Styela clava: one gene and its partner. The protein of the gene in region 2 interacts with the protein of the main gene of each other region in a pairwise test. Links are inferred from orthologs where the notes say so. Each region holds a gene or a part of one and is shown on either strand. Other genes may lie near its edges. The genes, in order: EKC/KEOPS complex subunit TPRKB-like and EKC/KEOPS complex subunit TP53RK-like.

Region 1 (6,882 bases), on a different chromosome or scaffold from region 2:
TTCTTGGAAAACCAAGTCATAGAAAAGTCATCTCTGAGTGATTCCATTTTTGTATGTTAAATGAGCTTTTAGAACTAAGTTAGGTACGTTAACAGCAATGTGAAGGCGGAATAACGTTAATAATAGATCACTTGACAATATGTTATAACTTTAGCACGAAAATACCGCTATCACCAGTGAAATGCCATTCGAAGGCCTTTAAAACGAGCAACGTACCAGTCTATCGCCCTACACAAGCCTGAATATTTGCATTGTTTGTCTGAGCAATGACATTAAACAACATGATGCGCAACTCCGGCATTTTTGTCCGAAGATCGTATTCGATAGCACGCTCCAATGCACATACTTGACGAGACGAAAACGAGCGGATGTGTGCTGCTTTCAAGGCGTAGCACGAATGGTGTTCGTGACTGCTTTGACAGTTGTTGTCGATTTTAATGATATTTTTGAAAGTTGGGGTAAAAAGAAATCGGTAAAAGGTAAGGTGAATACTATTGTTGTATATCACACCCGGGCATCGCACTGTTAAGTACTTGTGGGAAAGCCAGCCTTTGTCAAATACTACGAAGTTATTAATTCAGTACGGTACGTAGTTGCCCATTTGCCGAAATTACATATTTACTTACCCCTTATGGTTTCAAATAGTTCATGCACCTCCAGTTAGATTTTTTTAATCAGTGAGGATATATACTCATTGTTGATTGCTGCTCATTGTAACATACTATTACGCATTCACTTTTATTTGCGTATTGAATCAAAGTGTTAACAAGTTCACCTAACATTTCACTCATACCGGTCTATATTGTATAGTCTGATTTCTCAAGTATTTGGAGCAACGAATGCTTGTAATTTTCTGACTAAACCCTTTTATTAGTTGGTTTATATACCAAATTCAGTAAAATATTTTTTAAATAAAACATGAGATATTGGATTTATTAGCTTTTCCATTCTGAATCATATAGACTGCTTTATTTATTCTTACCGAAAATTAATAAATCTCCTCTCTTTCTTCAGATGTGAAAGTTGTGGACAAACCTGTCTAAGCATTGTGAGACTCTTGCAGCACAAGAGGCAATAGCAGAAATAGTAAGTATATCAATCAAGAAATTAAGCCGACATAAAGCAAAACTTTCAACTATTCGTCTAATCTCAATTTCCTATTATTTATTCACAGGACAACTATAGCAGACGGGGAGATATCAGAAGTCTGGCGACATATCAGTGACAGTGTGATTCCAAGAAATATAATGCAATTGAAAATAGAAAATTGCAATAGAAAAACAACCTATGGAGGCATGCAAACCCATTTGACCCTCCGGTAGAGTTGTGTATGGCCCCCACATCCTGCAGGGCTTGAGGAAAATAACTAAAAATTCCAAAGCGTAAGAATGCATAAGCGGTCTTATTTGTAAAAAGGCACAAAACACGCCAGACATACTTAAAACAGCTTTGGAAATGAGGATTACGGGTACCTCACTGCACCTGTGTTATATTTGGTTCATCAACTTTTGGTAGTACTATAGAAGAAATTCCGGAAGGGGTATAATCATCATTCATGATAAAATACTATCATATATTTTTTGAACAACTTCAATCTAGACCAGGGATCTCAAACTCGCGGCCAGAGAACTTCCAGTGCGGCCCTCGAACGCTTAACAATAATTGTAATAGTATTTTTAAAGTTTTTTTTTTTATCTAAATGTAATAGATTTTTCAAACCTTCTAAAGTGAAATTGATTATTCACACAGAAAACAATTTACTGAAAGTAGTTTTGGAATATTAATTTTTTTGTCCACATTTTGACCCAATTAAGAATACACATCAAGCTAGCAAAAGAATACTTGAATAAAACACTTGAGTAATTAAATTAAACGCAAAGTACATGAAGAAGGTGGCATTTTCGAAGAAAATGGGAGTTGTAACATTTCTGCTCTTCACAAAATTCTGAAGCACATTGTTTAATTTGTCATATTTCCGTCAATACAATCAAAAAACACAATAAGCTCAGCAGTCAATATGACAAATTCGAAGACCAACTTCGAACAGAAAATTTCCATGTGTTTGTATATTAATATAATTATACAACGACTTAGTTACTAAAAATCAATATCAATAATAATTCGAGCAATCCTATGCCACGCAATGTAGTGCGAAATGTCTTGTCGAAAAAATCTGTCATTTGTTTTTTTACTGATCTATACATGAAATGATAAAAATAACTTTTTTGCATTACTGGAATTAATTAAACATTCGTAAAGATCCAGATAAACCCATGATCATGTGGCCTCGTTAGTTAGAGTTGGTACTATAAAATCATTTCAGACTGACCTTAGTATGCTGGTGACACAAAAAAAGATGCCAAACGCCAGGACAAATGTAATTATTAAAACATTGAGTTTATACTGTAGTATTTTGTTAATTTTAGGTTCATATATTTAGATTAAGTTATTTTTAGTGTATGTATTATTCTTTCCTTATTCAAAGCTTGTTCAAAAATGATTTTGATGGTTTTACATAGAATTTTACGATTTTTTATAATAAATACTGTAACTTGCAAATGTTGCAATAATAGTGGAATGCAAATATTAATATGTAATTGCATTTGAAATTGAAGAAAATAATAAAACTTAATCCAACTGTTTAGTTGCATCACAATATATGTCACAAACTAAAACTATCTTAAAAATATCTTTTAAGTATACATTATCAAAAACTGTTTGCGGCTCTTTTTACAATTTTCAAAATGCAATGCGGCTCTCGAAAACCCATGAGTTTGACACCACTGATCTATTCTAGACGATTCAAGCATTGCTTTGGGAAATTATATCACTTCAATTAAATTGAAATAATCTCGCTATATTAAATACAAAATCGTTGCTATCATAAAGGTAAACCAATTCAGCCACTTGAAATATATTGGCCTTCACAAAGCAATGGAGGCAAAATTGAGAGTTCATGAGCTATGAACATTTGTTCTTTTCTTTGTCTTGAACTTTCCATACTCCACAGCCCCTATTAATTTTTTTTAATTTTAATTACCATGTGATGGTCATACATATCTTTAACTTGTATTTTCTGTCATGATGTATTATCTCAATGTGCCAAACTATTAATTAGTGTGCATATTTTGCTTCCAGATGACATAAATGTATTGTCATGTTTATTACCTCAGCTTGGAGTATTGACAAGAAAAAGGTGCCAGTAAATTAGGTAAAAAAATTTTCAACTCATTGTTATAATCAGAATTCACAATCAATAGGAATTATAAACAGCCAACAATCAGTGAGAATTATATGCGAAATGGAAAACGGACGCGAAAGGCGACGAGAAATATGTGCATTGGAGCGTATCATGAAATACAATGTTTTGCCTGTAGTCTTATGGAGTGACGTCAGAGTTGCCTATCATGTTGTTTAACCCTTTCCGTGCGGTGGGCACGTATACGTACCCACGACAAAACTCGCTAGTTTGCGGCGGGTACGTTGATGTACTCCACTGTTTTATTTAGCAATCGGTCGCAAACTGTTGGTCTAGTTTTTCCGGGTTTTAGTTTATTGATAAGAAGCCTTCTTCGAGATTAACATAAGCGACGGTAAATCTCGCTTTCGTTTACCATGGGAGTTTTATTTGCGGCGGAACGAGGGAGTGTTTTTGATTTATGCAAATTTCGGTGTTTTTTGGGTGGTAATAGAAGACATATTATCCCTTCCATCTACCAAAGTATTTTGAGTTAGATAACGAAATTGCTACAGTAATATTATGCTATTGTTTGCCAACCAAGAAGCGGTAACAGTAAAGGATTTAGCGAATATTTCTATTTTTTATCACGGCTTGAAGTTTCAACACCCAAGAAAAAAAATGTCTTTTTTCTATCCTGTTTGTGACTCAGACCACCCCTTCTGAAAAAAAAAAAAATTTTTCAATCGCCAATTGCAAGCTCTTTAAATAAGCTTTCCAACGAGCCGTCAGTGGGCAGCAGAGGATCATTACTTTTTCGTTAGTCGATCGATTAGTTGTGGGGGTACAAATGCATAAAGTCGGCGTAGCAAATACGATTATTTAATAAAAAATAAAAATCGCATGGAAAGGGTTAATGTCATTGGTCTGAGCGACCAAAATCATAACAATAAAGGTCAAAGGTCGGGGAAAGGTCCAAAGGTCTTTTCGCATTTTCTACGGCTACGTTTTAAAAGTCCTACGAAGAAGGGAATCCACAGATAACTCTCTGTAGTCGAGTTGTCTTCCTCTCGAGCATCGACAGCATAACTTCGCAGAGCGCTTGCTCAACTGTTGAATCAGTCGAGCGAATGCGAGAGAGAGAGAGAGAAAATATTTTTTTTTTCGTCAAACTAGGAAACATGATGATACAACAACAAATAATAATAAAAAACACATTATGCAGTTTTCGGTATGTGACTGGTTGATAACGATACGACCATACCGGTATACGGTCGAGTTTAGACTACGGGTGACCACTAAACTAAAGTGATCATAGACTACGAAACTCACATTCATGAATATATATGTGTTACTGTTTCCTGCTACGTATGAAGGTTTTAATATATTCAAAAGTACGTACTCAAAACATTCAATATCAATAACTTTCAAAAATTAAAACGCACACAGTCCTATAAGTCAACAGTATAACTTTGCTATTGGTACCGTTACCAATCAATCAATCATTTATTCGTCGTCACAAAAACATCAAATGCACAAAAAAATGACACCGTACTCCAGTTTCGTCTGTAGACTGTATCTGTATTCATATAACTTGAGCAAAATCATTTATACACATAAAAATTATTTCTTGAGAATATTAATGTATTTTTCTCAACATTGGAGCCCTAAAAATATCGAAATTACATTGTTATAGGCTTAAAACGTCGCCGTAGAAAAGGCGGAAAGACGGACAACCCACCAGACCCATCTGTAGTCGAGTTGTCTCTGGTGAGTTGTCCGTGTAGTCGAGTTGTCCGCTTCCCTTGGTGGCCTACTGTTTTCATTGGAGTTTCTGTGTCTGTGTGTCTAGTGGCACATAAAAATTGCTAACACCTTAGGTACCGGAAGGACTGGAGGAGGCATTTTATCCTTTGTGAAATTTTCTTACAGTAAATATATAGATTTCAAGATTTTAGTGTTTTGACTATCTGACCATATTCAGAACATTTCAGTTTTTTGAATATTTGATTGTTAACTTGTAATTTCCGAATCACAGTGAAATGCAGACTTTTAATCTTAAGCCATTATTTCCTGACCAAAGTGTTCAAATTTCACTGTTTCAAAATGTCACAAACGCAAAGGAACTAAAAGAATTAACAACTGAAGGAATTTTACAAGGATGTTTAATTGATGGTTCTTTGATATTAGATTCATTTCATATATTGACAGCAGTCAATAAAGCGTTGTATTATCAGAAATTAGGACGTATGAAAACAAAGTCTCTATATTCGGAAATATTGTTTAATTTATCACCCACAAATAAAATTAATGAAAGTTTGAAGACATTTGGTATCAATGAAATGACAAAGAAGATAATTGCAGTAGTTTTGAAGGATGACTTGAATTCCAAAGTAATTCCAGAATCTGTAAATGGTGAAATTGTTGGTTTGGAAAACTTGGAAAAAATTATTGATGTAGAGAGAATAAAGAAAATTTATCGTCTCGAACAAAATGAAGAAGTAACTGTTGAAGCTGTTGTTACTAGAATGGCTACTAAAGATGTGAAATGATCGATGTTGTTTACCCACAGATTCCAGGATTCAGTTGGTCAATACTTGGTACCATACCAAAATGTAATACTCTGTTGAAATAGCATTCTTTGTGCTGCTTCTCATTGAAGAATGGTATCAATAGAAATATTGGTCAACGAATCTAATGACCATGCTGAGTTTAGATCAATTTCACAATTATTTTGTCTCCGCAAGATTTTTCGTGATAATTTGTTACTAGTACTTGAAATACATGTTGGCAGAACGCTCTACTCTGGATCAGATTCCTCAGCAATTCTTTCAGTTTTCTTTTCTATTTAAGATACTGTCGTTGCTAGTGTTAATTCCATATGGCGAACAATTAGTTTTCTAGTGCATGCATATAAATAGTCGAAATTTGTTGTAGTTGATTTCACAATATTTTATCGTCATTAAACATTGACAACAACATCTGCTTAATCCTTATTTAATTCAACATCATGTGCGTTAGAATTTAAAGACCTAATTGATTGCTTAAGGGATTGCATAATGTAATCTTCTCAAAATATCTTTGGTAACAAAATTTTCACAACTTTTTTATTTTATCCTGCCAGGCAATATTATTAATTTATTATTTCAATTCTAAAAATGTCCAGCAGTGACAATGAAGATGTTTTACCAGCGTCAGATACAACTGAAAGGGTGGTGTTGGTTAGTGGACATGCCAACAATATTCTTGATTCCATGAACGAATTACGATCTGAAAATGTTCTTTGTGATGTCACAATAAAGTGTCAAGATGTTGAACTGCCAGCTCATCGAGTTGTTCTAGCTGCATCATCTTCTTATTTTCGAGCTATGTTTACAACTGGGATGAGAGAAAAGGACCAATCCGTTGTTGAAATTAAAGGGATGTCAAGTAACACAGTTATCATTTTATTGAATTTTGTATACACTGAATCAGTAAAAGTCACAACAAATAATGTTCAAGACCTTCTTCCTGCAGCTTGTCTTTTACAGTTAAAAGGTGTGGAACAAGCATGTTGCGCATTTTTGAAATCACAACTGGATCCTGTTAATTGTTTGAGTATAAAATCTTTCGCGAGTACACATCAATGTTTAGATCTTGCCAAGTGTGCCGAGGAGTTCACTTTAAAGCATTTTAAGGAAGTTATAGAAAATGAAGAATTTTTA
Region 2 (5,864 bases):
AATGGTCGTCTAATTGTTGGGTTTCATGGCCTGAGTTCAGTTCTAACTTGCAAGTCAAATTAAAATAATCTTGAGTTGAAACACGTCCGACTGTTAACTAAAGTTAGTTAAATTAACCCAATATGCTATACCTGGGGTGGCCAACACATCGATTGCGAATGCAGATGAACGTGGCGTGGATGTGTTGTCTGTCACCAAATCGAAGACACCAAATTAAAATGTAAAGCAGACTACTTCCTTTATTTCAAAACCTGGCGTAGAAATAGGAGTTTTCAAGTCAGATGGGACCTCAGATGTCGCCAATGCATTCACAAATGTGCGCGGTGGGACCAGTTTCGCAATTTTACTTTTAGTCACGTGTTGCCAAAGTGACTATAAAGTGTTAGTCACTTTGCGTGTTGCCGATGGCCTCGTCGTCTGTCGAGCAATGTACGTTATGCGTACGTTAATAAGAAAAAAAAATAAATAAAAATGTACGTTATGCGGCTTTGAACGACTGTCTCAACTCTGCTGCTCTGTGATCCGGCGGGTACTGTCAGACGCAGGGTTGCCATATTGGCTTTTTTAACGCCAAATTTGCCATTTTTGGCTTTTTATAAACGCGTTTGGCGTCAGAATTTCCGTTTGGCTTTTTGGCGTTTTTTTTGGCTTTTTTTAAGTCTATTCTAGTGTCTATTATTAAAATCATATGAAATACAATATTTAGTGTGTAACAACTGAACAATAGCCTATTACCTGTAGCCTACTTATCACAGTATTAGCTACTTATTAACATTAGAATCCCTGGAGCATCGATTTCCTTGTTTGTCACATTAACTCTTAACCATACCCAATAAGAAATAATTGCAGTTTCTGCAGCTGCTCAGACAGATGTTCGAGCAGGGTTGTAAACATTGCCTCGTTTTTATAGTTTTTGCGTGTTATTTGTCAGTTTTGCGCTCTGTTTCCAAAAAATAGTTGTATAACTTAATTTTCATTATGCCTGATATGGTTTATGTGAGCTTTAGTTTAATTCTGCAATTGCAGTAACGATGTGATTAACTACGCTAAAATTACTGAATTAGATATCAGTGGTCCACCTGTGAGCGGCAGGGGGTTAGATAAATTTTTTACTAAAATTGATGGTTTATAAATTTTGAAAGTAAAAAAATATTCAATAGTGAAGTACGATATAGGGAGAATTTTTTAAGGTATATCACAAGTGGAAACATGTAGGTATATTAAATACTGACAGACTGAAGCGTCACCCTGTAGGCCTATTGTATATATTGAATGGTAAAATAATGATGTCCGCTTGATATTTATTTTACTTTCTACAGTCATATAGAAACTTTACTTTCTATTTTTGTGCCTCACTGAATGAACTGATGGCTCTACATCATCATCAGTACGTTGCCAAGGGCTCAAAATCTGACAAATTATGGGGCTTTTGTACTTAGTAAAATTGTTGGCTTTTTCTGGCTTTTTTTATGTCTTGATTTGGCTTTTTTTGATCGCTGGGGTCTGGCAACCCTGGTCAGACGGTAGTACGTTCTCACCCAAGATGTAATTAATACAGAGCAGCTACACTAAAATGATCGGTCTTTAATAATACGTGATGATTGAGGCGGCATGTAGCAGTGTAAACAAACAATTGAAAAATTTCTAGGATAAAGTGTAAATGCATGTCGCCGTTCCATGCTTGGAAATAGAAAATATAGGGTATCTAGTGATTATCATGATACTGTAGTATCGACTAAAACGTCCACACAAAAATCGATTGTGTATGTTCTCAAATATCAGAATAGTAAGTTTTGTATACCAAGCCCTATTATAATGAGAGCATCTTAATTCCGTTTGAACCTATTTTCATGCTTGTGTGCTGTTATTTGCCCAAAATTCTTCCATTTTCGCATACCAGTTTGCCATCCTAGTCCTGCAATTAAAAATTCGCTATTACTGTTATCTGTTGTTTGTTTCTTGATGTCACTAAGTCTGTGATTTCAGACGTTTCGGCCAACACAGTCTCAAGTGTGGAGACTGGAGATACATTTATTAATGATACTGGGATAGAATGCAATAGAAGAGGATGGTTACATGCCTTGATTGAATATTTTTGAATTTTGTTAATGAAAGTAGCGTATTTAGTCATGATTTTGATATTAAAATTGCACATACAGCCCATCACACTGTCACATCTATGATTTAACTAACAGTATATCCCACTCACAGACTCACCAGGCCATGCTGCCATGTCTTTGATCTATATGTCTCTGTTGGTGTTTCTTTTGTTGTAATATTAAAATATTGCAAAAGTATTTCGGCCACTTCAGTTCAATTACTGAATTATAACGTATATTCCAATATTTGGATGTTGTTATACCCAAACAATTCCCCATGCTGTAAGTTGCTGATGCATACACATTTTTTTAGTAATTTTCTGTTTTTGAATGATAAGATAAGGTTACTGGATCAATTATGTTACTGGAGCATTGGGGAAAATTCTAGAACTACTAGAGGGGACCAGATCGATGATAATTCAGTAGTTTCTCCGATGATTTTGAACATTCAAAAATCATTCAATCAAAATGCTGAAATGTCATGATTCCCATTTAATTTAATTTGCTAATTTGTGCATAACCTATATTCTTCTCAATAGATCTAATCTAGTAGTCTAATATTGTATATTCTAAATGCATCAAGTCTCTACTTTTCAATTTGTTCATTTTTTCTATAGAGTATATGTACTGATCAAGCATGGCAACTACAATGATTGTAGTTGGACTTGGAATTGCTGGTAGTGCTTTGTTAGCTCGAGCAGCTGTCCGCATGGCGGGACCTGCGGCACGTCAGATGGATGAAACACTGAAAACTCTCGGAAAATTTGATTTTGAAAATTACAAATATTATAGAGGTGGTTTTGAAACTAAAATGACAAAAAGGGAAGCTGCTTTAATTTTAGGAATTGGGCAGTCTAGCAACAGAAACAGAGTACGAGAATGTCACAGAAGGATTATGCTTCTGAATCATCCTGATAAAGGAGGATCTCCTTATCTTGCCGCCAAAATCAATCAAGCAAAGGACATGTTGGATCATGGATTGAAAAAATAAAAAAAAATTTGAACAAATGATTAAATTATAACACTGTGAATTGTTTGAGTTAGCCATGGAACAGAATAAGAGAACTTAATTTAAAACGGTAACTTAACTTAAAAAGGTTTCATGGCAATGCCTCGTGTACATACGGTAGATAAATAGGCATGTTTCATCAATGGATCATAACCATGTTTCAGGTTTATTGATTACGGTTACATATTGTTAATAGCAATATTTCAAATTTGTCAGCCTAGGTTTGGTATTCACGTCCATCTGATGAAGGTTTAACTTGATTTGCTATAAAATTTAACAACACTCAAGATATTTATGTTTCTTGTTTCACTTTCTCAATTTGATTAATTCTTCGTTGATTAAAATTGTTTGTCCGTAATATTTACTAATTCAGGGTATGTTAGAAATTAAATAGGTGAAAATATTTTTTAGAAGCTAGCCAGAGAATGTATTTATTAGGTTTCATCCATTTGATCACATAATAAAATTACTTAATAATTCTATTTCGTACTTCCTGAATTTTTTGAGGTGATCACTCTAAATAAATCCAAAGATGTTAGTTTTTAAAAAGATTTTTAAGAGATTTTTGGCTTAATAAAATAGCCTAGCAAAGGTTGAAGTAGGAATGGACTAATGTGCGAAGGAAGATATCTTTATTGTTGGTGCCTATTGTCAACCATTAAGTCATCAGAAGTTGCCCATGATTTATGAAAGTTCCTTTAAAAGGAACTCCAGTATTGAAAATAGTCTGCTGATTCAAACAACAAATTTATAAGGATGCTGGAAAATGTTCACTATATTAAAAATATGAAATTGTTATTGGTGAAAATCATAGAGCATCACACCAAATTCTATTTGCTATGATTATGAACCTTGCTTGAAAGTATGCACAAAGTTTATAGCCACCATGTCTGTTTTTGATGTGTTTTGCAAAATATACTATTTCTAAACGTGAGCTCCTTTTTGTATTTGATTCTCATCTATTGACTGTTTGTACATTTTTCAGAATTAATAATGAATCCCTATGTAAATCATGGAGTGCTTTTGCATCAAGGTGCTGAGGCTAAAATTTATAAATGTGAGTTTCTCGGTCGAACTGCAATTATTAAGTTTCGTTTTTCGAAAAAATATCGCCATCCCGAACTGGATGAAAAACTGACTAAGAAAAGAATAACCCAAGAAGCACGTTCCTTACTAAGATGTAGGAATATTGGAGTTCAAACTCCAGCTGTGTATTTTGTAGATTTGGATATGGGTGTGCTTGTACTTGAATACTTTGACATGGCACAGACATTGAAAGAGCACATATTTCAAGCATATGAGAAATATGATACACCTGGACAATACCCACCAGAATTGGTTCAAGTTATTGAGAATGTTGGACAAAAACTTGCTATGATTCACAACTCTGATATAATACACGGAGATTTGACTTCTTCAAACATCTTGGTTGAATGTCAGGAAGGCAGCGAAGGAAACAATGTTGTGAAAATAATTTTCATTGACTTTGGTTTGAGCTCATCGTCTCGACTTGTCGAAGACAAGGGTGTTGATTTGTATGTTTTGGAAAAAGCATTCTTAAGTACTCATCCAAATAGTGAAAATCTTTTCGGTGCTTTGATTAAGTCCTACAAATCGCATTCCACCAACTGCAAAGGTATAATATCTAAATATGAGGAAGTAAAACTGCGAGGTCGAAAGCGAACTATGGTAGGGTGAAGTAGTGTGTCATGATAGTGCTATTTTACTAATTGCTATATATGAAACACATCCACTGGTTTTCATTGTTCTAAACCTGTAGTGGTGAGAACACTTTTAATGAATAGGAACTCTTAAAAGCAGGTGTTCCCAAACTATATATTGTCTCAAGTAACAGTTAAGGGGCTGACCAGATATTTACAGCAGTCCTTGCATTTTTGAATAACAGATCTTGCATCCATGAAATTCCAAATATATATGTTCTTCCGCGGTGTTTCAAGTATTATGATATATATTGTTGATGGAACAACTTGGTATTTTACCACCCGTATGTCATCCATCTCCGAGAACATTAAAGAATTTGCAAAATCTAAAACCCGTTCTCGTGAAATTTTTTGTTGTTGCTGGAATTCTGGGGACAGCATGACGACAGGCAAGAGGGATACGGCCGCCTCTTAGATTGTGACAGTGTTTCTCAAACAGGAACTTCGGCCCCCATGTGAGGTCACGGATCGGTTATCTGGAAGCCGTAAGCAAATGCCTTTATTGTGTGCAATTCGCGACGACCACATTGATTTAACCTAAACTGATGGAATGCGTTAATATATAATAACTAATGTTGGTATGGAATATGGACGGTAATTGCATTCTTCCCCAGCTATATGGTCTAAGTCTAAAATGTCGTGATTTCCACAGTCAGTTCCAGTGAGTATTGCTGCACACTAGCACAAATGTATTTCTGTAACGTTTAGTCTGACCGAGGTCAGATTCCTTTCCAACAAGCATTTTACAATTGTGGCAAGAAACGCAATTGCATACTGCTATCCACTGGGTTTATATTTGCGCCAACGCTGTGCGCAATGCACTTAAACCCATGACGACTGCATTACGCTGGCTTTGATTCTTATGATACAGTTAGCACTAGTATGTTCCCCAGCTTTTCATTTTAGGGAGGGTGGTGCGAAATTTAGGGGGTGGTAAATAATTTCCTATCAGCGATAAAACTATTTGTATCGTTCAAAAATTGGTATGTATTTAACTAAGAAACAATTTACATGAGGGTTCCCCCAAGTTGATTG

The links.
Region 1: the proteins of EKC/KEOPS complex subunit TP53RK-like (region 2) and EKC/KEOPS complex subunit TPRKB-like interact in binary tests that used the Homo sapiens proteins (3 or more experiments, as listed by UniProt). The link is inferred for Styela clava from reciprocal best matches to the Homo sapiens genes TP53RK and TPRKB.

Annotation. Positions count from the first base shown.
Region 1 is NC_135254.1:16,142,848-16,149,729, forward strand, and holds EKC/KEOPS complex subunit TPRKB-like, read left to right. Parts: upstream 1-5,108; 5' UTR 5,109-5,220; coding exon 5,221-5,730; 3' UTR 5,731-6,302; downstream 6,303-6,882. Other genes in the region: kelch-like protein 12, read left to right, coding at 6,337-6,882. UniProt on the Homo sapiens protein: Component of the EKC/KEOPS complex that is required for the formation of a threonylcarbamoyl group on adenosine at position 37 (t(6)A37) in tRNAs that read codons beginning with adenine.
Region 2 is NC_135251.1:30,623,911-30,629,774, forward strand, and holds EKC/KEOPS complex subunit TP53RK-like, read left to right. Parts: upstream 1-4,101; coding exon 4,102-4,806; 3' UTR 4,807-5,161; downstream 5,162-5,864. Other genes in the region: mitochondrial import inner membrane translocase subunit TIM14-like, read left to right, coding at 2,737-3,090.